5 linked regions of the Rattus norvegicus genome follow. The protein of the gene in region 5 interacts with the protein of the main gene of each other region in a biochemical or structural test. Links are inferred from orthologs where the notes say so. Each region holds a gene or a part of one and is shown on either strand. Other genes may lie near its edges.

The links.
Region 1: the proteins of Crk (region 5) and Rapgef1 form a complex in vitro, tested with the Homo sapiens proteins (4 studies listed by BioGRID, with this or other methods). The link is inferred for Rattus norvegicus from reciprocal best matches to the Homo sapiens genes CRK and RAPGEF1.
Region 2: the proteins of Crk (region 5) and Dock1 form a complex in vitro, tested with the Homo sapiens proteins (3 studies listed by BioGRID and IntAct, with this or other methods). The link is inferred for Rattus norvegicus from reciprocal best matches to the Homo sapiens genes CRK and DOCK1.
Region 3: the proteins of Crk (region 5) and Bcar1 form a complex in vitro, tested with the Homo sapiens proteins (2 studies listed by BioGRID, with this or other methods). The link is inferred for Rattus norvegicus from reciprocal best matches to the Homo sapiens genes CRK and BCAR1.
Region 4: of the proteins of Crk (region 5) and Abl2, one has a biochemical effect on the other in vitro, tested with the Homo sapiens proteins (2 studies listed by BioGRID and IntAct, with this or other methods). The link is inferred for Rattus norvegicus from reciprocal best matches to the Homo sapiens genes CRK and ABL2.

The regions. Positions count from the first base shown.
Region 1 is NC_086021.1:33,411,227-33,414,626, forward strand, and holds the end of Rapgef1 (Rap guanine nucleotide exchange factor 1), read left to right. Parts: intron 1-443; coding exon 444-594; 3' UTR 595-2,893; downstream 2,894-3,400. UniProt on the Homo sapiens protein: Guanine nucleotide-releasing protein that binds to SH3 domain of CRK and GRB2/ASH. Transduces signals from CRK to activate RAS. Involved in cell branching and adhesion mediated by BCAR1-CRK-RAPGEF1 signaling and activation of RAP1.
Region 2 is NC_086019.1:198,895,558-198,899,854, forward strand, and holds the start of Dock1 (dedicator of cytokinesis protein 1), read left to right. Parts: upstream 1-1,487; 5' UTR 1,488-1,605; coding exon 1,606-1,651; intron 1,652-4,297. UniProt on the Homo sapiens protein: Involved in cytoskeletal rearrangements required for phagocytosis of apoptotic cells and cell motility. Along with DOCK1, mediates CRK/CRKL regulation of epithelial and endothelial cell spreading and migration on type IV collagen.
Region 3 is NC_086037.1:56,620,383-56,624,559, forward strand, and holds the start of Bcar1 (breast cancer anti-estrogen resistance protein 1), read right to left. Parts: upstream 2,809-4,177; 5' UTR 2,689-2,808; coding exon 2,677-2,688; intron 1-2,676. UniProt on the Homo sapiens protein: Docking protein which plays a central coordinating role for tyrosine kinase-based signaling related to cell adhesion. Implicated in induction of cell migration and cell branching. Involved in the BCAR3-mediated inhibition of TGFB signaling.
Region 4 is NC_086031.1:71,222,540-71,226,756, forward strand, and holds the start of Abl2 (tyrosine-protein kinase ABL2), read left to right. Parts: upstream 1-1,409; 5' UTR 1,410-1,678; coding exon 1,679-1,835; intron 1,836-1,896; exon of another isoform or gene 1,897-2,105; coding exon of another isoform or gene 2,106-2,184; intron 2,185-4,217. UniProt on the Homo sapiens protein: Non-receptor tyrosine-protein kinase that plays an ABL1-overlapping role in key processes linked to cell growth and survival such as cytoskeleton remodeling in response to extracellular stimuli, cell motility and adhesion and receptor endocytosis.
Region 5 is NC_086028.1:61,027,736-61,031,722, reverse strand, and holds the start of Crk (adapter molecule crk), read right to left. Parts: upstream 2,807-3,987; 5' UTR 2,768-2,806; coding exon 2,527-2,767; intron 1-2,526. UniProt on the Homo sapiens protein: Involved in cell branching and adhesion mediated by BCAR1-CRK-RAPGEF1 signaling and activation of RAP1.

The sequences.
Region 1 (3,400 bases), on a different chromosome or scaffold from region 5:
GGGTTTTTCCAGGACAATATGGGGAGATTCACATAAAGGACTCAAAGGACTGCTGGCCTGGCCCTGTGGTGGCAGCCAGCTTGTCCTCCAGTTACAAGTCAGGAAGCAGGTACTCCCCAGGCCACAAGAAGGAGGCTGTCAATCCAGCCTCCTTGGCAGAAGGGGTAGGCTTCAACGTCACCCTACTCAGCATGGTCTACATGTGTCATGTCCCGGATGGATCCGCTCAGGGAACCACTGGGAAGCCAGGCTTCCATGAGGAGCTGCAGGAGCAGTGCTGGCTGGAAGCCAGAGCTCAGTCTGCATTCTGGTACTGAGTGCTGTTGTCCCCTGTTAGGTAGCAATGACCCTACCAGGCAGATGACTGTGAGGACCCACCCTGTGAGGTTCCGGCCAAGCTATTCAGCTAGCCCTGGACTTGCTGACTGCCCCTCTCCCACCAGGCACTATGAAATCCGGAGAAACGACGACATCATAAACTTCTTCAATGACTTCAGCGACCACCTGGCCGAGGAAGCCCTATGGGAACTCTCTCTGAAGATCAAGCCTAGGAACATAACAAGGCGGAAAACAGACCGTGAAGAGAAGACCTAGGAGCAGGCTGGCTGTGAGGATGCTCAAGCAGCCAGGAGAGGACCTGGACCGTCCCAGCCTCAGAGCCTGTCCATGGCTTGGCTGTGTGGCAGCACCGAGTCTGCCGGCCGGTTTCCTGCCTCCTTCCCTATGGCTAAAGCCCCAGGGTTCACAGTGAGCTGGCTGGCAGGCCTCAGGACTGGCTTGTGTACTGGTGGCCCCTGGTCTGGTTTTGTTTTCTGTTTTCTGTCGATGCTCCGTCCTGTTCCCTACTGTCCCCTCCAACAGGGAGCAGAAGAAACCTGAGCAGCAGACCAGGGGAGTGGCTGGCTTCCTTCCTCCCTCCCAAGGCTGTCTTTGCCTTCTTAAGTGGCAGATAAGTAGAGGCCCCACCCAGGCCCCTTGGGTAGACCGCCCTCCAGGGTACCTGGAGCCAGAGGAGATAGGGCTGGGAGGTGGAAGAAGGAGAAAAGGGCCACAGCAGGCATCTTTCACTGTCCATTTCCTGCCTTTTAGACATGGAGGATGAGGATGTCGACCTGGCGTGAAAGTATCATGGGATAGGCAGCAGCCAGAGCTGACACTTGTCACAGTACTGGCCCCAGCCCTGTCCTGCCAGGCATGGTCCACCAAGGCTCACCTGCTGGACTGACAGCAGCACCAGTTGCACCTTCCACCCTGTTGCCCCACCACTGTCCAGCCCCAGCCCAGCCCACATCAGCGGTTCTCTGGGGATCAGGAACAGGAGGCAGAAGGGAGAGTTCATGCTGAGCTGGGGCCAAGGCTATGCTTCCAAGTGGCTCAGAGAGTGAGGATCTTTAGTGACCTAGGGAGAGGCAAGCAGCCTCTCCGTGCTTGCTGTGTGCCTTAAATGCCATCTCCTGTTCCTTCCAGCCTGGGGCTTCCCTCCTCCTGTGCCCCACCCCTGGCAGCCAGCAGGGTCCTGGGCCCTTTTTGCTCCCTGGGAATGTCTCCTGTTCCCAAGGCTAAAGAAGCCTAGGATGTGAGGCCTCCAGGGGCTCCTGATTCCAGACAGGTGGCAGAGCCACCCCTGCTGCTGAGGTTGACAATCTGTTCAGGGCTCAGGACTGGGATCTCCCTGGCCATGGTCCCACGGCCTCACTGTAGGCTGATTGGCAGGGTGCAGGTCAGAATGCAGAGGTGCTGCTGGCCCTGCACCATCCCTCCAGTTCAGGTTTGCATGGACAGGCACCCTCATCTTCTGGTCATGGGGCTTGGCCAAGTGGATCCCAGGATTTCTGTGCTTCCCAGCCCAGTCGTCAGAGCAGAAGAAAAGACAGCAGCAGCTGCTGGCCGGGTACTAATTTGAAACAGCTGTCACTCTGAACCCTTCCTGGGTTGGTTTTTTGTTTTGTTTTTGTTTTTAAAGCAGCTTTTATCAAATAAGAACTATAGGACCCTCTTCTGTTTATTTGTGCTGTAAATAGAAAGGGGACATCTGTAAACAGCCCCTTGGCCAGCTCCCTCTGGCAGCAGCCGGTACTGGATTGTTTATGGAGCGTTTGTGGAGTCAGGCTTGTGAACAGTCGCGTGGGTCTTTGGTGTGTTCCTCTTTTACAGGTCCTTTCATTTCAGTCTTTGCTCCTACTTGCTGTCCTTCACCAGCTCTAGGTGCTGCTGTGTGCGAGTGGGGAACACTGTGCACACGGGGTCTTTCCTCCCAGCGCTTTAGAGGCCCCTGCAGCCTCCCTCTGTAGCACAGGCCAACATAGGCCCAGCCTACTGGTGCTGCAGCCAACAGAGCGGCTCTGTGGTCTGTGTCTACTGGTTCCCAAACATGAGCTGGCTAGAAAGGAAGGCTCTCCTTCCAGACCAGAAAAGCCAGGCCCTCCTACAATCCTGGGAGCCTTAGGCAGACTAAGTCAAGGGCCAGGGCACGTCTGGAGTTTCTGTGTGGGGATGTTGAGGTGCGATGTGTGGGTTTAACTTATTAGCCAGCAGGCTTCCCCAGTCACCTGCCTCTGGCTGCGGCTGAGCCCAGTGTTCCCGCAGCCTGGCTTCCACATGTCTGTTTTTTAGGGGTGGGGGGCTGGGAGAGCTGTGAAGATGGGTCTTTATAGATATACTAAGCAGCATGGACAATTCGGTTCCCAGCAGAGGCCAGCCCTTACCTGTGGATATGGTCTGACCAAGGCTAGGGCAAGCAAACACCATGTCTGACTGACCCTTAAGTCTCCCAGTGTGGCACTGTAATATAACCCCCCACTCACCTGTCTGACAATGCATCTTCCTACAGACAGAACAGCGCGCAACTTTTATATGAAAGAAAAATAAACAGACAAAAGCCCGTCTGATGCCACGTCTGTGTCCAGGCTTTCTCTATCAGGCTGCGTTGGGCCAGTCCCTGCTATGTGTGACCAAGGGGAAGGGAAGTGGGTAAGGTAAGGTGGGCTGAGCTCTGGTAAGCATTGGGAGCCCATGTGCTAGGAGAGAACTGACTCCTGCAAGTTGTCCTCTGACGGCCGCGCACACACTGTCATGGGAGTGAGCAGAGGAGGACTAAAGCCCTGGGCCTTAAAACTCCTCCCTTCACCGCCTCTGCTTCTGAGGGTCGTTCAATCCTGTGTCTTCCGAATTCAAGTGCTGAGAAAGACCAAAATACCACACCCAAAGGACAGCTCACAGCCAGCACCTGACTCTGAAGAGAGACCTCAGCAGTTAAGAGCGCTGGCTGCTCTTCCAGAAGACCCGAGTTCAATTCCCAGCATCTGTGATTTGTAACTCCAGTGCCCTCTTCTGACCTCTTTCAGCACCACACATGCAGTGCACACTCATGATGACGAAGCACTCGTCCACAAAATCTAGA
Region 2 (4,297 bases), on a different chromosome or scaffold from region 5:
CCCACAGCTGAATTGCTAGAAATTTTAGTTGTATACTATCTTGAACAGGGGAGGTTCCTCTCACCTTGTCCATCCTGGAATTCCTGGCTGTTTAAGCTGCAATCTGGACTGGTTAACATAACTGCCCCAGGCCAGGGTGGCCCCGTCTACAGCAGGTAGTGGCTCCCTGACCTTCCAATTCTAGATGAGTCGGCTCCTCTCTGGCTCTGACATGCAATCTTACACAATGTAGCCTTCACTCTTTTAAACCTTCGTTCCTCTAGTCCTTGAAGTCTCTTGGCTGGTGTATTTGTCATTGTTTCTAGGATGCTAGGGAGAGAAGGCAGACAGCAGAAGGTATAATCTCGTTTACCCCTTCTAATGGATTGCCGTGGACTTGAGCCCCCATTCCAGCCCTCCCCTTAGTTTTAACCTTTTCTTGGATTCTAATGAAAACTCTGGGGTGTGTCTATGTGCGGGCCTTGGAGAACTCAGAAGTATTGCACTTGTGGGTGGCTGGCACTGGGTGAATCTGAGACCGGCCTCCTTCAGATTAGGGTTGCTAGGAGGCTGAGCTGCCTGTTCTAAGCTTGGACTGGCTTCCTTTCTCTTCCCACTTCCCTCTTTCCCCACTTCAGCAGGGCCCAACTCCCACTGAATGCCTCAAAGTTGTGCAAGCCTGGAGCCTCTCAGTGCAGCCCCAGGCCCTCAACACCTAAAGGGAGCTGGGTTGATAGAAACACCCAGGGGCTGCAAAGTCTTTCCCTAGGCTTCTCTTAACCAGTGCTGACTGTACGTCACCACTCCCATCAGCTACCAGGCACGCTCAGTACGTTCAGCCTCTGGCGAAATAGGTGCCCACTTTGTGTTTGTTGAATGAATGAATGAAATAATGAACGAACCACGAAGAACTCCTAGCTCTGCTTCAGCGCTCTCCACCAGGACACACTAGTGAGTACATGTTTGGTGTCTGATTCTGTTCTGATCCTCCACTATTTGTGTTAGGTCCAGGTCCGGAGGGCTGTAAGGACTCTGTGTGTGTGTGTGTGTGTGTGTGTGTGTGTGTGTGTGTGTGTGTGTGTGTGTGTGTAAAGACAGCGCCTCTGCACCATGCAAGGGTGCAGAGTGTTTAGGATGCCGATGCTTGGTGTTCAATGTAGTGTGTGGGGTACATAATAAAGAATGCTGAATGCGGTGCAGAGTAGAGTGTGCAGGGTGAGGGGTGTACGGTGCAGATTAATAGGTACGAGGTGCCTGCTGTTCAGTGAAAAGTAGAGAATGCGAGTTGCGCGGCGCGTGCAGCGTGCAGGACGTCTGTGGGCTCGGGGAAGCGGCCTGGGTCCCTCGAGGGACGCGGCCAGCCCGGCCCAGGGCACGCGCGCCTGGGCGGGCTGCAGCCGGCTGCCGTCCCGCCTCTCGCCGGCGCTCCTGGCCTTTCCCATCCGGCCCGCGACGCTCCGCCCGCCCCGTCCCACATGACACCGCCTCCGCCGCAAACTTTTTCCTCCCCATCCTGTCGCGGCGGGGAAGGAATGGAAGATGGCGGCCTAGGCGCACAGTTTCCTGCCCGAGCAGCGGCGGCGGCAGCGGCAGCGGCGGCTCCAGTGGGCTGCGGCCAGCGCCACCATGACGCGCTGGGTCCCCACCAAACGAGAGGAGAAGTACGGCGTGGGTGAGCAGCGCGCCGCCCCGCGCCCGCCCCGCGCGCAACTTCCCCGCCGCGGTGCCCAGCCTGTTGCCGCGCGGTGCGGAGCCCGGCCCGCCGGGGGCTGGAGCCCGCGTGGGGAACCCGGTGACCTTCCGGGGTCCACCGTGCTCCTTATTCCCGCGCATTCGCTCTGTGTAGTCCCGTGTGTTCCTGAGTGCGCAGGGCTCCCGGGGTCATTGTTTGTGTGCGTTTTGGCTTCTTCGGGAAACTTTTGTTTGGCATCCGGGATTCCGGGTGAACACTTTTCATTGTGCAGCGCACGGATCTGTGAAGTCTCCTTTTCTCGCGTGAGGAGTGGCTGCGCTTCCCGGGCTGGGTCCGTGCCGCCTTTCCCGCCCTGGATGGTGGGGGGGGGCACTCAGGCGCTCCTGTTTCCCGGGGACCCTGGAAACGGACCTCGAGGGCGGGGACCTGGTTTTGCCTTTGTCGCTTCCCGAGGGGGTGGAGGGAGTCGGGTTGCAAGCTTACATTTGACTCAAGACACATTCCAAGGAGCCCGGCTTGCTTCAGTGGCTAGACAGTACTAGAGCCCTGCAGACCCTGTCTTCCCCTCCAGCCAGCCCACATCAAAAATCAGGTCTGTCTAGGCCTCAGGGCTCGCTGGCATTCCAGACCTGACTATTCTGTTTCCAGGCTCCTTCTCTCTTTCCCTAAGGATCCTCTGATGCCCAGCCTCACCTGAGCAGAGACTCTGTCTGACTTGCAAGCAAGCATTTCTCAGGGATTTGCAAGCAAGCATTTAGAGGAGCTTGCCGCCTTCCACCCTAAGGGCTGCCTTGAGGCGTTTTCTCAGCAGCTGTCTGTTCTAGGCACGCCTTCAGCACCTTCTTGCAGGCCTAGCTCTTGTCCCAGCCCGCTAACTTTGGAAGCTTCCTGGAGACTCCAATCTACAAGGCTGTGTCCTTCCTTTGAACTCTAGTTACTTATTTCTGTAGCAAGTAGGGGATGGTGGCCACGGGGGCAGGGCTGGGGAAGCCTAGGGCTCCTACCTCCACTCTAGGCCCACACACTGGGTTGGAGGACTTCCCTCCTTGTGAACACTGGGACTGGCCTCCACCTGCATTTGGCAGACCTTTCTGAGGCCCATGACAGAGCTGGGCTTTCTGGGGGTGGATGGGGTGTGTAAGGAGCTAAGAAGCATATCTTGTACCTCCTGGGGGTCCCATGTGGGGCAAGAAGGGCTGTGAGAGTCCCATCTGTCTAATTTGGGATGAGGATCCTACTTAGGAGGACTTCAGGGTGTGGGAGCGATGAGTGTTTTCTCCTGGGATTGCACAGGACTGTTCAAAAAACAGCTAGAAGACCAGGAGCAAGCAGAAAGCGGCCACAGGACGGTCAGGAGGCAGTGAGGAAGGAGAGGGACCCTTGGGCCTGTAGGGGAGTCTCGGGTAGTGGAGAAAGTTGTTACTTACACTTTACCCTTGCAGCACAGTAATGGGAGCGCTCTGGGTTTGAACCCTGGCAACAGCGGGTTCACATTCATCCCTGTTCTGGTGTAGCTGCCACCATGGCTTGTGATTACTGGATAGGGGAGTCTCTTTCTATGTTTTTTGTTTACTTTTTGAGACAGAGTTTCACTATGTAGCTCTGGTTGTTCTGGCTTCATACAGAGGTCTACTTGTCTCTGCCTCCTGAGTGCTAGGTTTAAAGGCATGCGCCCTCACACCTGGTGGGTCTCCTCCCTGAACCCTCCACCCCGTTTAAGCTGGCAGACTACTTTGTTGACATTTGAGAGAAAGAAGCAGGCAGACCGGAGACCTTAGCAGCTGTGGGAAAGAAGGGTTGTAGATAGGAAAGAAAAGGCTTGGGGGGAGAGGGTTGGTTCAAACTCAGTTTGTAGTGCAGGGGTGGTAGTGTGGGTACATACCCGGAAAATTGGAACTTGGGAGGTCGAGAGGCAAGAAGATCAGAAGTTGAAGCTCATCCTCTTCAGCATAGTAAGTATGAAGCCAGCCTGAGCTACATGGGATCTTGTCTCAAAAAGAAAAAAGTCATATTTTGTAAGCAAAAGGGCAAGAAAACCTGCAGATCTAACAGTGGAAGCCCCATGAATTCCTTTGTTGAATGTGGGGCTTTCATTTCAGAGAGAGAGAGAGGGAGAGAGAGAGAGAGAGAGAGAGAGAGAGAGAGAGGGAGGGATACAGATACAGGTACATACATACATACATACATACATACTTACATACATACATACATACACACACACGCACCGATATCCAGTGCCAGGGTGTGGGGTAGGGTGGTGGAGGCACTTCATTTTGCTATAGTGTCCAGTTCCCCTAGAGACCTGCGTGTTGTCTTCAGTGAACCTTTTGTAGTTCTGTAGTGCGGCTTGACCTGGAGAAGAAGGGGGAACATTCCTATATAGGGTGAGGAGGGTCTCCCTCCAGAGTAGGAAACAAGCAGCCCAGGAGGCTGTGGCTGTCCCAGTTAGGCCACACATCCCCCTGAAAGCACTCTTGGATAGGACTTCTAACATCAAGTCTTTTGCTAATGCATTAATCTCAAAACTTTCAGAAAGTTCTCAAAGGAGAACTAGTACAGTGGTTCTCAACCTTTCTAATGCTGTGACCCTTTAATACAGTTCCTCGTGTTGTGGTGACACCCCTC
Region 3 (4,177 bases), on a different chromosome or scaffold from region 5:
TTAGAAAGCCACAGGGAGCTGTCAACAGCTCTCTGGGCTCCAGCCTGAAATTAGTGAGGCCAGGCAGGGTGATGGTCATTTTTACCAATCTGAATGTTGCCAGGCCTGCTAGTTCCTACCCTGCCTTAGCTCCATTGTCATGTGACTGTGGCCACTTCCGGTCCTCCCTCAGGACCAGCACATAGGACATGCTCACACCGGGCAGCCTCTGTGTTCCTTGAAAGGGCCCATCTCCCAAGAAAGGGCACGGTAGAGGCTAGATGGGCTACCCAGTTTCACAGGAGAGAAGCCATAGCAGAGCCATGCTGCAGTGGGGCTGCTCTGCACAGGCCTTGCCCTTCACCGTACCGTGGCAGGGCAGCCAACCTCTCGTTACTTGTGGACATGGGTCCGAGATGGCAGCAGTCATTTTCAAGTGCGAACTCCAAGTTAGGCCAACACTTGGAGGAGGCAGAAGCAGATGGCTTTCAGTATGAGTTCAAGGTAAGCCTGGTCTACAGAGTAAATTCCAGGGTATTCAGGGCTATACAATGAGATCTTATCTCAAACACCAAAACAAAACCCTGTCCAGGCCCTGCTTGGATACCCAGGAAATCACATCAACTCAACCTATTTCATCCCAAGTTCTCTCTGCAGTGGTCTCCCACTGCCGCCTGTTAGCATCTTGTAATTTCTGTGGGCCAAAGTGCTTGCGTCAGCTCTATACAGGGAAAGACTGCCCAAATGAATGGGTGTGCTTAAAACTCAAACGTGTCCCTAAGTACCACATGGCCAGTCACCATTCTGGGCTCCCTGGGCAGGCAGATCTTTCTAGAAGTCCACCCGGGCTCCCAGCATATGAAAGCTTCAGAAATGACCTCTCCATAGCCCCACCACCTTGCACACTACTTAGGGCCCAGGATAGAGGACAATGGCCTGACAGTCTAGTCTAGCTACACACTGTGCAGAATTACTGAGGGCTGTGGCTACAAGCGAACGGGAGAGAAGTGACTTGGAGTGGATCGTGGTAGGGACAGACCTTCACTTTAGTTCTTCACAGTGATTCTCACCTGTACAAACCCCTTATCCTCTCCAGTTATAGATGGTACCACCGTGGCACACAGCAGAGGGCGACTACCTGAAATCTCGTGAGATAAGGGTCTGCGTGCCGTCTAAGACACATGTCCCATACAGAGCTCTATACCTAGGCTAGACTACTAAACCAATCCTGGACCTCCCGACCAGAGGCCTGTCCAGAGGGGTACTCCATGGTCATTACAGCCTTGGGGACCCTGGCCCTCCAGCACACTCAGCAGGTCTGTCTTGTTTTCCTGGCCAATGTCCACAGAGGCGGAGTTGGTCGGTGCCCTATGCCCCAAGCTGGAGAAAACCCTGAGCTTTGCAGAACAGCAGAGCAGAACAGCAGAGAGGTTTGGCAGGCTTTCTCCGTCTCTTCCTAGAGATGAGACAATTATGCTTTGAACCAGAAGAGATGGGGGTGGGGGCTCCCATCAGCGCGGCCTGGAAGCCCTAATTTTTTCATCTGTAACTCAGTATTACCGCTTCTGGGGGCGGGCAGGAGCTGAGATCTTTAATTCTGTAATAACAATGCTTTGCCCTGACAGAACCCTCTCCTCTCCAGCAATCTCCATACTCTATGGTGCTTAATTAAGAAGCCACTTGCCCCGCCAACTAACGGCATCACGGAGAGAACCCAGTCTCCGGAGTCGATCCAGAGCAGAATAAGGGCAGGCTAGGCAAGGCTCTGGCCCATTGCCCCTTCCTGTCATTGGGGAAAAGGCCTGAGTCAGCAGAGAAATGGTGGCTGCAGGCCATGACTCCGGGGCAGACAGGATGAAGGTGTGGCCTCACACCTCTGTGTGTCCATCTGTAAAGTGGGTTGGAGCCTGTGCCTGAGTCCACCCCCCTGGTAGAATAATCACTGGCCACCTCAGGAGGAGACCCAAGGTCCTAGTGTTAAGGACTGGACCAAGGGCTTCTCGAGTGTGTCTGGTGGATTGGGAAGACAGAAGACGAGATGTCAAGCAAAGGGGGAAGCCCCTACAGAAAGCAGCTGCTAATCAAAAGGCCCTGTAGTTCAATGGGCCAACAAAACTTCCCACAAAGTGAATGTACAAACCAGAGGTAGGGGGAGGTACGCTATTTCCATTAGCCTGCCAAGCCAACCATTCTGGGGTAAGGGTGTCTCCGGGGACAGAACAGACCCCGCCCCACGCCTGGCCATCCGGGTAGGGACCAGAGAGCACAATAGGGCAGCCCTCCCAGGGAGTTTTCTGGGGGAACCGCACAGACCTTCCCACCACTCGGCCCAGCTGACCTGGCCATGGGTTTCTAAGAAGTGACAGAGCCCTCTTTTCGGTAGGCCTGACCACTCTGGTAGGAGGTCGGGGAAAGGCACGGACCCCGCCGAGCCCACCAGTCCCAGAGGCTCTCAGGAGCACCCCTAAAGCCCCCTGCCCAACCCAGCCGTGCCCCGGAGCTCCCGGTGGGGCCAGTGCGGCTCCCCGTCCTACTCGGCTGTCCTGGAGGAGGCTGGAAAAGCCGTGTCAGAGATGCCGGTTATGGGGCGGTGCCCCCACCCTGACCCCCACCTCGGCTTGAAAAGAACCTCCGGCGACCCCCGGTGGCCCAGGCCTACGGCGGGGGGGAGCAGGGTCTCAGGCGGTCAGCACTCACCGGCACGGTCATCTTGGCCACCGCTCCCGGGGCCCTGCGGCAGCGGCGCGGGCTAGCTCGGGCTCGGTGGGCCCGCGCCGCTCACAGCCCCCGGCGCGGGGTCCCGGCGCTCTCCGCTGCCCGCGGGTTGCTTTCAGCCACCGGACTGTCCGGCCGCTCCCCCCGCGCCGCGCATGCGCTGCCCGCGCCGCCCCTCCCCCTCCCGCCTGCTGCGCCGCCGGCCGCGTTAAAGGCGAGGACCCGGGACCCCGGCATTTTTCTGTCGGCACAACTGGGTGAGAAGGCTGAGTTCCCACACCTTGCCTGTCCTTCCAAAGGCCACCTCCAGACTCACTATTAGACAATCCCATCCGGTCCGCCCACCCGGTTCTGAGACTAGAACCCCCACCCCCACACATCACGTCCCTCAGTGCGGGTCCCAAGACGCCTACAATCCTAGTTTGGGAGCAGATTAGTCTGGCTGAAGGCGATCTTAGATCAGCCTAGGAAGCAGCCTGACTTAACATTGGATACCCCTGAAAGTAAAATCTACAGTGGCTTTTTTTTTTTAAAGGGTTTTTTTTTTTAATTTTCTAGAAGATTTATTCATTTATATACAAGTACACTGTAGCTGTCTTCAGACACACCAGAAGAGGGCATCAGATCCCACCACAGACGGCCGTGAGCCACCACGTGGCTGCCGGGACCTGAACTCAGGACCTCTGGAAGAGCGGTCAGTGCTCCCAACCAGTGAGCCATCCCTCCAGCCCTCTACAGTGGCTTTTAGGGAGGGTCCCACAATGGGCCCCCCTGCCCAAGGCTGGAAGACAGACAGGCCTTCGGGGACCTGAACCTTCCTTTCCTCCTTGTTAATCACCCCTAATTTCTTCAGCTGTTTCACACTTGGTACAATGCCCAAACATGCACCTGCAAGCACAAGGCACACGGGCTTCCGACTGCCACACCTTGCTGCTTTCACCTTCCCTCTCAGTACACTGAGGCTCGGAGCTCCACTGGCTACCAAAGGCATAAGGCCCCGCGGTCTGCTCTGCTTGCTGCCCAACACATTCAGCCTGTCACTGCTCCATGGGACCTCTTCCTGAGCAAGGCCAGACCCAGATAGTTAATGGCTGCCATGCCCTGAGTAGGAGAGTGCATTCTTACATCAAGTGGGAACTGGACTCTATGGCTTTGTCTACTGCTTCCTAAGGGAGCCCCATGAGAGGATCACAAGAGGACCACGAGAGGGCAAGAGCTTCAGCTAGCTAGCATATAGTACCTGGGGACAAAGCTGCTTCGGCGGCCGCTGCTGCTGCTTCCACCTCTTCCTCTTCCTCCTTTCTCCTTTCTTCCTCATCCTCTTCCTCCTTCCCATTCCCCTCCTCCTCCTCCCCTTCCTTTCCTCCTCCTCCCCCTCGTCTGGTTTATTTCATTTTTGGTGTGTGAGTATTTGTAAATCCGTGTATGCACAGCGTGTGCCTACCTGCTGCATTCAGAGGTCAGAAGACAGCATGGGATCCCC
Region 4 (4,217 bases), on a different chromosome or scaffold from region 5:
TTTTTTTCCTTTTTTTTCCGGAGCTGGGGACTGAACCCACTACCACTGAGCTAAATCCCCAACCCCAACCTTCCCTCTTCTTGTAGACCAGCTAGGATCATAAAGCTTGGGCTAGTGCTTCTGGCTTTTCACTATGACTAGTATCTTGTGTGGAACTCCAAGTTCAGGTGGTCAGGCTTGCAGTGCAAGTATTTTTTTTTTTTTTTTTTTTGTCATTAACCCATCTTTCCCCAGCCCCTAAGGCTCTTTAATAGTGAATATCTGTATCAAAATCAGCTGGAATTTGGGCAGTAGCAAGTGGTAGAGCATTTGCCTGGAACTCAAGGTCCTGAGTTCGAATCTCACCAACACACGCTTGTGATCTTACACAGTTCTACAAAACACACGTAAGGGGAACTACATCTATTTTTGCTAACTCTTCTCTTCCTTAGGGCTGTTTTCCTCTATTTAAGCAATGGCTCCAGTCCTCATTCGAAAGCAAAAGTTCAAGTGCCAAGTCTAGTAACTGATCCTTTTAAAGAACAAAACAAACAAGGAAGAAAAAGGAATAGCGAGAAATAAGCGTCATCGAGTCTTTGAGAATTGAAAAAACTGGCTAAATATTAAGTTAATAGAACTCGTAGTGGGTTGGGATGGGGAGACAACTGCACACAGGGTGCACTCCTATAAAAAAAAAACTTCTCTTCTGCCTGTTTCTCTATTTAGATACCAGAAGGTAAAGATGAGTAAGTTCTGACTCAGGTCAAAGTGATTACGTTTTCCTGGTCAACAAAGGAGTGCCTGACATCCTGCACTGCACATCTGTGGGAAGATTAGCTTTACTGTTAGGCGTTTTAAAGTAAACAGAAACACATGCGGTTAGGGAGATGGTGGAAGAGTTCAAGAGAAATCCAAGGTAGTATGAGGAATTGGGCTACAACGGCTTTGCCAAGAAGTCTGCAAAGTGCACATCAAGAAATAATTCAAATTAAGTTAACCCCGCACTTTACCATCTCCCGGTGAATTTTGTACTATTTCAAACTTCACCCTAGACCTGATGCTGAGTGTGTGTGAAGGGCTTCTCAGTTGAATGGCAGCTAAGCACAGGGATTCACGAGCCTCAGCTGCCTGCTGCTGAGCTGCGCACGTGGTGGGTTCAGAACCTCCTCTGACTTGACAGGTGGGGGTGGGACAAGAAAGGCTGGGCGCCCACACCCCTCCAAGTAAGGCAGTGTGTGGAGCCGAATGTAGGTAAAGGTGGCGGTGAAGCCTTCGAGGGCCCTAGAAAGCTTCGGTGGACCGGTGGGGTGGGCCTCGACTTCAACCCAGCGGGGCGCGGGCGGGGCGGGGCCACACGGAGCTCCGCCCACCGAGTAGCGGAGGTGCCTGGGCGAGAGAGGGGCGGGAGACGCTCTGTCCCACGCTCGCCCTGTGCTCGGTGGTTTAAAGATGGCGGCGGCGGCTGGGGCGAGGAGCCGCCGGAGGGGGAGGGAGAAGGGTAGTCTGTGAGTCGCTGGGAGGCAGCACGGCGCGCGGCAGCGGCTCTGAGGAGTCTGCGTGAGGAGCCGCCGGCAACTCCGGCCCAGAGGGCCTGGGTTTGGGCCGGAGAGGCCGGAGCGGTGCCGGGAGCTCCGAGGCCGGAGCAGAGGAGGAATGTGAGCAGGGGTCGGCGGGGGCGCGGGAGTACGCGAGCGGCGGGATGGGGCAGCAGGTGGGCCGCGTCGGGGAGGCTCCCGGGCTCCAGCAGCCACAGCCGCGCGGGATCCGGGGCAGCAGCGCAGCCAGGCCCTCCGGCCGCAGGCGGGACCCGGTGGGGCGTACCGCAGACGCCGGCTTCAACGTCTTCACCCAGCACGGTGAGTGTGTCCTAAGCCGGCTGAGGGCGTGAGGGAGGCCAGGGGTGGGGTGGGGTCGGGACGAGGTGCGAGGCGGACGGGCAGCCTTCGGGGGGCGAGGGCTGGAGGGGTGCCCGAGAGTGGGGGCGGAATCGGCTGCCATCTGGGCCAGTCACGGGAGGCGAGGCACACCCCTCCCCCCGCCCGGCTAGGCTCTCCAGCCTGGCTGGCAGTGTCTGGGGGCGGCGGCGGCGGCGAGAAGGAATAGGGGTCTTAGGGACCCAGGCTTGAATGTCTTGCTGTCCTGGGACAGGACAGGGCGACTGTCGAACAGTGGATGGTATCCCCAGGAAGGGAAGGATGAAGGCAGGTATGAGCTCAGGTTCAGGTGGTGGGAGGATAAACCGGTTGTTAACGACGGGAACGAGTCGTGCCCCGAGGAATTGGGAAATAGGAACTGAATCTTTAAGAGATTGTGGCATATTCGGTATGTGTTTTATTAATCAGGCGGTGAGCAGTGTCAGAATGGTGAACAGTGAAACCCTTTTCAGTATCTCTTTACTTTCAAGAGTATTTTCTCCAAACTAAAAATGAAGGGCTCTGCCAAACCACCCTGTTCTGCCTATCAGAGTAGGACACAGGATTCTGAGATGGCTGGCGGAGCTCTAGATGGGTGGGCATGGTTAGGGCTTCCATGTGGATATGAACATGAGTTTTTCTTTGAGCCCCATTGGTGTATACATATATGCATACGTGCTCCATGTAATCTGGGACTTACTCGGCCTCATATTCTTCAGAAAAGCTGTTTCTAAACTATTTAAAATTATATTTATTTTTCATATGTATGTCTGTGTGTGCGCACACACACCCATATATGTAGAGGTCAGGAGTCAACTTGGGAATCATTTCTTTCCTACCATGTGGATCCCAGGTATTAAACTCTTCATCAGGCCTGGGGGCAAATGCCTAAACTCTTAAAAAAAGACAAACTTTGAGCACATATTAATTTATATGTCTTTATTAATATACACAAGCTAATAAAAATTAACAAATAATGTAATTAGCGGTCAGAAATAGAGTACAAGAAAGGGTGCAATGAGGGAAATTAAGAATACAGCACTGTAAAGTAGTGACAATGTACACAGCCTGTCTGAGGCCTGAGTTCAAGCCCCAGCAGCCAGGGAGAGAGAGAGACAGAAAGAGAGAAAAAGAGAAAGAGAGAAAGAGAGAAAGAGAGGGGGAGAGAGAGAGAGAGAGAGAGGAAGGAGAGAAGAAGAAGAGGAGGAGGAGGAGGAAGAGGAAGAAGAGGAGAAGAGAGAATGAATGAAAATGAATGAATATTATATTATAAGAGCATTGTTCTGGGGTTGGGGATTTAGCTCAGTGGTAGAGCGCTTGCCTAGCAAGTGCAAGGCCCTGGGTTCGGTCCCCAGCTCCGAAAAAAGAAAAAAGCAAAAAAAAAAAAAAAAAAAAAAAAAAGCATTGTTCTAGGAGCAGAATACCAGAAGCCATCCTAAGACCTGAGAGGCTGGTGATGGAGATGTGCCATCCATAGACAGGACGGGCTAGTAGACACTGGACGGGAGGTAGCAAGCTAGCTTCAGTGATAATACATATAGGAGCAAAGTGAAGGAGAAACTGTCCCACTGCACGTAGCTTGGGGAATGGGAAGGAGGAGAGGTGTAGACTAGTCATGGGAAAGAGAGTTTCAGAGGAAGTGACGTAGCATGCAAAGAGATGATCCCAGGACTTGTAGCTTGGGTGATTTGTGTCCAGGTTCTGCATCTGGACTTCTGAATAACCAGAGGGCCTGGGTTTGGGCTGTTTTTCCTTTTTTAATTTAATATGTATGTGCGTTTAATTTAATTTTATGTGTATGTGTGTTTTGCTGCCTGTACGTCTGTGTACCATATGCCTACCTGACCCACAGAGGCAAGAAGGAGGACATCAGTTCTCTTCCTGTAACTTGAAGGTTGTGAGGTGCTATGTGGGTGCTGGTGACTGAACCCAGGCTCTGAGGAAGAACACTGGTTAAGAGTACTCTTGCGGGGCTGGGGATTTAGCTCAGTGGTAGAGCGCTTACCTAGGAAGCACAAGGCCCTGGGTTCGGTCCCCAGCTCCGAAAAAATGAACCAAAAAAAAAAAAAAAAGAGTACTCTTGCATATATGAGTTCAGTTTGGGCCAAGTATACTAGTACACAACTTTAATGTCAGTACCTGGGAGCCAGAGACAGAAGGATCTCTTTGAGTTCAGGGCCAACCTGGTCTTACCTGTTTTCACCAGTCTTATTCTTATATAAAATGAGGATGTGTTAAAGGTAACATGAAGGTTTTCAACCTGGGTAACTGGGATAATAACAATTTTATTGACAAAGTTGAAAGTTAAAAGATGATGGATAGAAT
Region 5 (3,987 bases):
TCAGGACAACTCTGAGGTGTTCCTTCTCTTATCCAACCCCGGGATTGAGGATCAAACAAGACCCTCAAGCTGGCAAAGCTGTGCTTTTGCCTACTGAGCCACTCTGCGGGATCTCAGAGCACTCAGATGGCAGAAGCAAGAATTCTCCTGAGTTCAAAGCCAGCCTAGTTTATATGGTTGCAGACCAGCTAGGGCTGCAGAGTGAAACCCTGTTTCAAAACAAAAGAATGGAGTTCCCTATGTGCACCCCAGGGATTCCAAAGCAAATAAACAAAGAATACCAAAATTATACAATAGTCAGTTCTCAGGTCACACTGTCTAGTTCAAATTCTGGTTTATATGCTAAATGTTACAGGTTACTGGATTTCTAGTTCTTCTCCCCACCTCCAAATGAAAATGTTTTAATAAATGGAGATTGCAGAATTTCACTCATTGGATTGTTTTACTGATGGTGAATTATATAAGGCACATTTAGCAAAGCATGTAGCATACAATAGTCAGTCAATAAGTGTAAACTATTAAAATTATATATGTCTCTCTAAAACTCAAGTAATTCCTGTGTGGCTTCAAAAGAAAAACAGTTTAATGGATGGCAGAACAGCGATTAAGTGACCATCATAAAGACAGCAAGTGAATTGAGTGTCCTACAGAGAAAATGGGGAACACGACAGAACAAATTGCCACAAAGCCAATGAACTTTCCACACCTAACCCACAAACTGGCAATCTTCTCCTCTCCTAGGCCAAACACCTATTTTGAAAAGGTGGAGCTACCGAGATATAAAACCACAAGCCTGCCTGATGCTAGTCCCACATTTTCAAACAAGGAGAAAACTGAGGACCGAGTCCCTCACCCCCAGCTATTGGGAATAAAACCTAGCCTCCCCAAATGTCAGGCAAATAAACTACCACTCAACTATATCCCTAGTCACACCCCCTAACATAACTTTTTATTTTGAGGCAGAATCTTGCTAAGTTTCCCAGATGACCTGGAACTTGTAAAATCTTGCCTCAGCCTCCTAGGTGCTGGGATTAAAAGCATGAATTATGAAACTTGGCTGAGAATTGAATTTCAACAATAACATTTCATCTTACTACTGCCCTTAACACAAAACAACAGATTATTTTACAGATAGCACAAAAATAGAATTTACTATGTTTAGGGCAATTGTGTTGTATCTGATTTTATATTATTAAACCAACAGACACAAAAAGACTAAGAAGACTTCAGTACTCAAATTTTCCCCTTACTTGTGTGCCAACACCAAGAACTGTTTATCCCACCTCTACCTCCTCATTTGTGGCCAAAGGGAGTAAGTCTAAATTAGGATGATCCTAAAAGGAGGTCTACTAAACGGCTAACCAGGGAGTCTCCATTCATGAGATTAGCTCAGCTCTAGGAGGAACAAGCTTGCACTTCAAACATCCAGAAAGCAAGAAGCTTGGTGCCAACACACAGAGACAACAGTAATCTCAGAATCACTGTGCATCTCACAAACTTCAAGGACGAAGTGCATGAATTTCCTTAACATTGCCAAGACAACTGCAATAATACAGCTGAGACAATTACAACTCAATGGTCCTCGATGAGGAAAACACAGCGGGATAATTATTCTTGGTGTATCTGCCAGCTAGGTCTGCTCTCATATCCTGGAAGATTTTGACCACAGCACCAACTTAGCAAGAAAAGACCCAGAAGTACGTTGACTGACACTGTTTAAGCCCAGGAAGAATGAAATTCCATTCACTTCCAAGGTTGTTCTCCCTGGCCTATGCTTGGTTTATTTCCTAAAGGAAAAAAAAAACCTTCCTCCACTAATCACTTTGAAACTAGAAACTCTACGTGCAGCGGGCAGTCTTTTGGACACTTAAAACCTCTTGGACACAATTTGCCAGCTAGGCTTCAATTACGCTGGGCTGGTCACAGAAAGCTTTTTTTCTATTACCAAGTCACTTAGTTCACCACCTTCCACAAGGGAAGAGCACGGTAAAAAGATTTTGGAAAAATGCCCAAGAAAGGAAAAAGCTGACCGGCTTCCTGAGGGTGTCTCCATCCCTCCCAGCCAGCCAAGTACGTGGTGACTTCCTACCGAAGGCCACCAGGGGAGTATGGCCAAACCCAGCTCTAACACTGCAGGAAACGTTTCAAGCCTAAAAGCCACTTGTAGGATTAGCAGATCCATTCTGGGCATCTCTGCCAAATGATGTCCCCGCAACATCCCCATTAACTCTTTGTCCCCAAGTTGCCTGGCCCTGCCCTGCCCTGCCCTTGGGCCTGACCCTGGCGCCCAGCCCCACCCCGGGGCCGCAGCAGTTCCCCTTCCCCGGCTCCCAAGGCACACCCAGAGGCCTCGGTGAGCAGCTCCTCCTCCCCCACAATCCCGCTCATCGGTGGGAACCAGCTTGGTCAGAAGGCAGCTCCCCCGCCAGGTTCACTCCAGCCCTCTCTGCCCACGTCCCTCCTGCAGCCGACCAGGGTTCTAGGGCCTTCACCCCCGCCCGGGCCTCCCGCCCGTCTGTCCCTCACCCGGCGGAGGCTGAGCGGGCGACGGAGGCACTGGAGGGCGCGGGCCGCTGCTGTTGATGATGTAGTGGGAGACGCGCGAGTTTTCGGAGACGCTGAGCACATAGTCCCCGGGGCTGGTGCTCGAGTCCCGCACCAGGAAAACCCCGTGCCGCTGGCCCTGCAATAGCGCCACCGCCTCCTGCCGGCTCAAGCGGCCCCAGTACCAGCTACTCCGCTCCTCCGAGTCGAAGTTGCCTGCCATGGCCGCCTCCGCGCCTTCACGCTGGGCCGCCGCCGGCACGCGCGCCCCTCCAGCCCTGGCGCCCGCCGCCCAGCGGACCGGCTCCGGTGTAAGCCTCCCAGCAGCGCCCGAAATGGCGGCGGCAGCCGCGGGCCTTCCCCACCGGAAATGACGCGCTCTCTACCCGAGGGAGGCTGCCGGGAAGGGGACCGCCGCCCGCCATTGGGAGAAGGGAAACGGAGTCCTTGGGGCCCGCAGTGCGCATGCGTCCTCATGGGCGTCGCCGCCCGGTCCAGAACCCCAACGGCGGAGGATGGGGAGGCGGAGTCTAGGTTTAAGGGGCGGAGCCTCAATCTTCAGACTGACTGGTGTTTGACTAACTGGTGTTTGACAGATTGGTAGAGGCGGTCTTTCTCCCAGGACCTACAGGTAGCAGCTCCAGTAAAAGGACTGGAGTAAAAAAGATGATGTGGTCCCAGGATGCCCTCAAAGCTCCCTAACAAGCTGGTCTTTCCCGGTGTTTCCTTCGGTTTCCCCGGAGGTCAGTCGAAGTTCTTGCTATCTAGGAGTAGCCATAGATAACACATTTGCCTTGCAGGTGCAGTACTGACCTAGACTGAGCCTTAAGTCACCGAATTCACAGACCAGTGGGAGGGATCAGGAAACCATTAATGTCTGCTGTGATGGGAAACAGAGACACAAGGAAATCAACTAAGTAATCCTAGAGGAATCCAAGGGCCGGGTAAAGTGACTATGACAGTAATCCCAACCCTTAGGAAACTGAGACAGGAGGATCACTGTGTTTCAGGCCCTATATTATAAAACGAAAGCAAATAAGAACAAGGAGTCCACAGATGAGATGGTGTAGGTTGAATGGTTCGGTGTTGAATGGCAAGTGGGGAAGGGTACTTAAGGCAAAGAAAACAAAATGTCCAGCCAGGCAAAGCAATGGAGTTCTCTCTATGGGAGCTCCCATGTCAACCAGCCAGATCCTTTTAAACTCTCATTTGTAGCCAGAGGAATCTCCTAGTTTCACTTCCTTCATGATCATCATCTATCTCAAAAAAAATTTTTAATGAAAAAATACTGGGGAGTGGGGTGTTCAGGATAGGGTTTCTCTGATAGCTCTTGCTCTCCTGGAACTCACTTTATAGAGCAGGCTGACCTTGAACTCAAAGATCCACCTGCCTCTGCCTCCCCAGTGCTGGGATCAAAGGTATGCACCACCTCTGCCTAGCCAC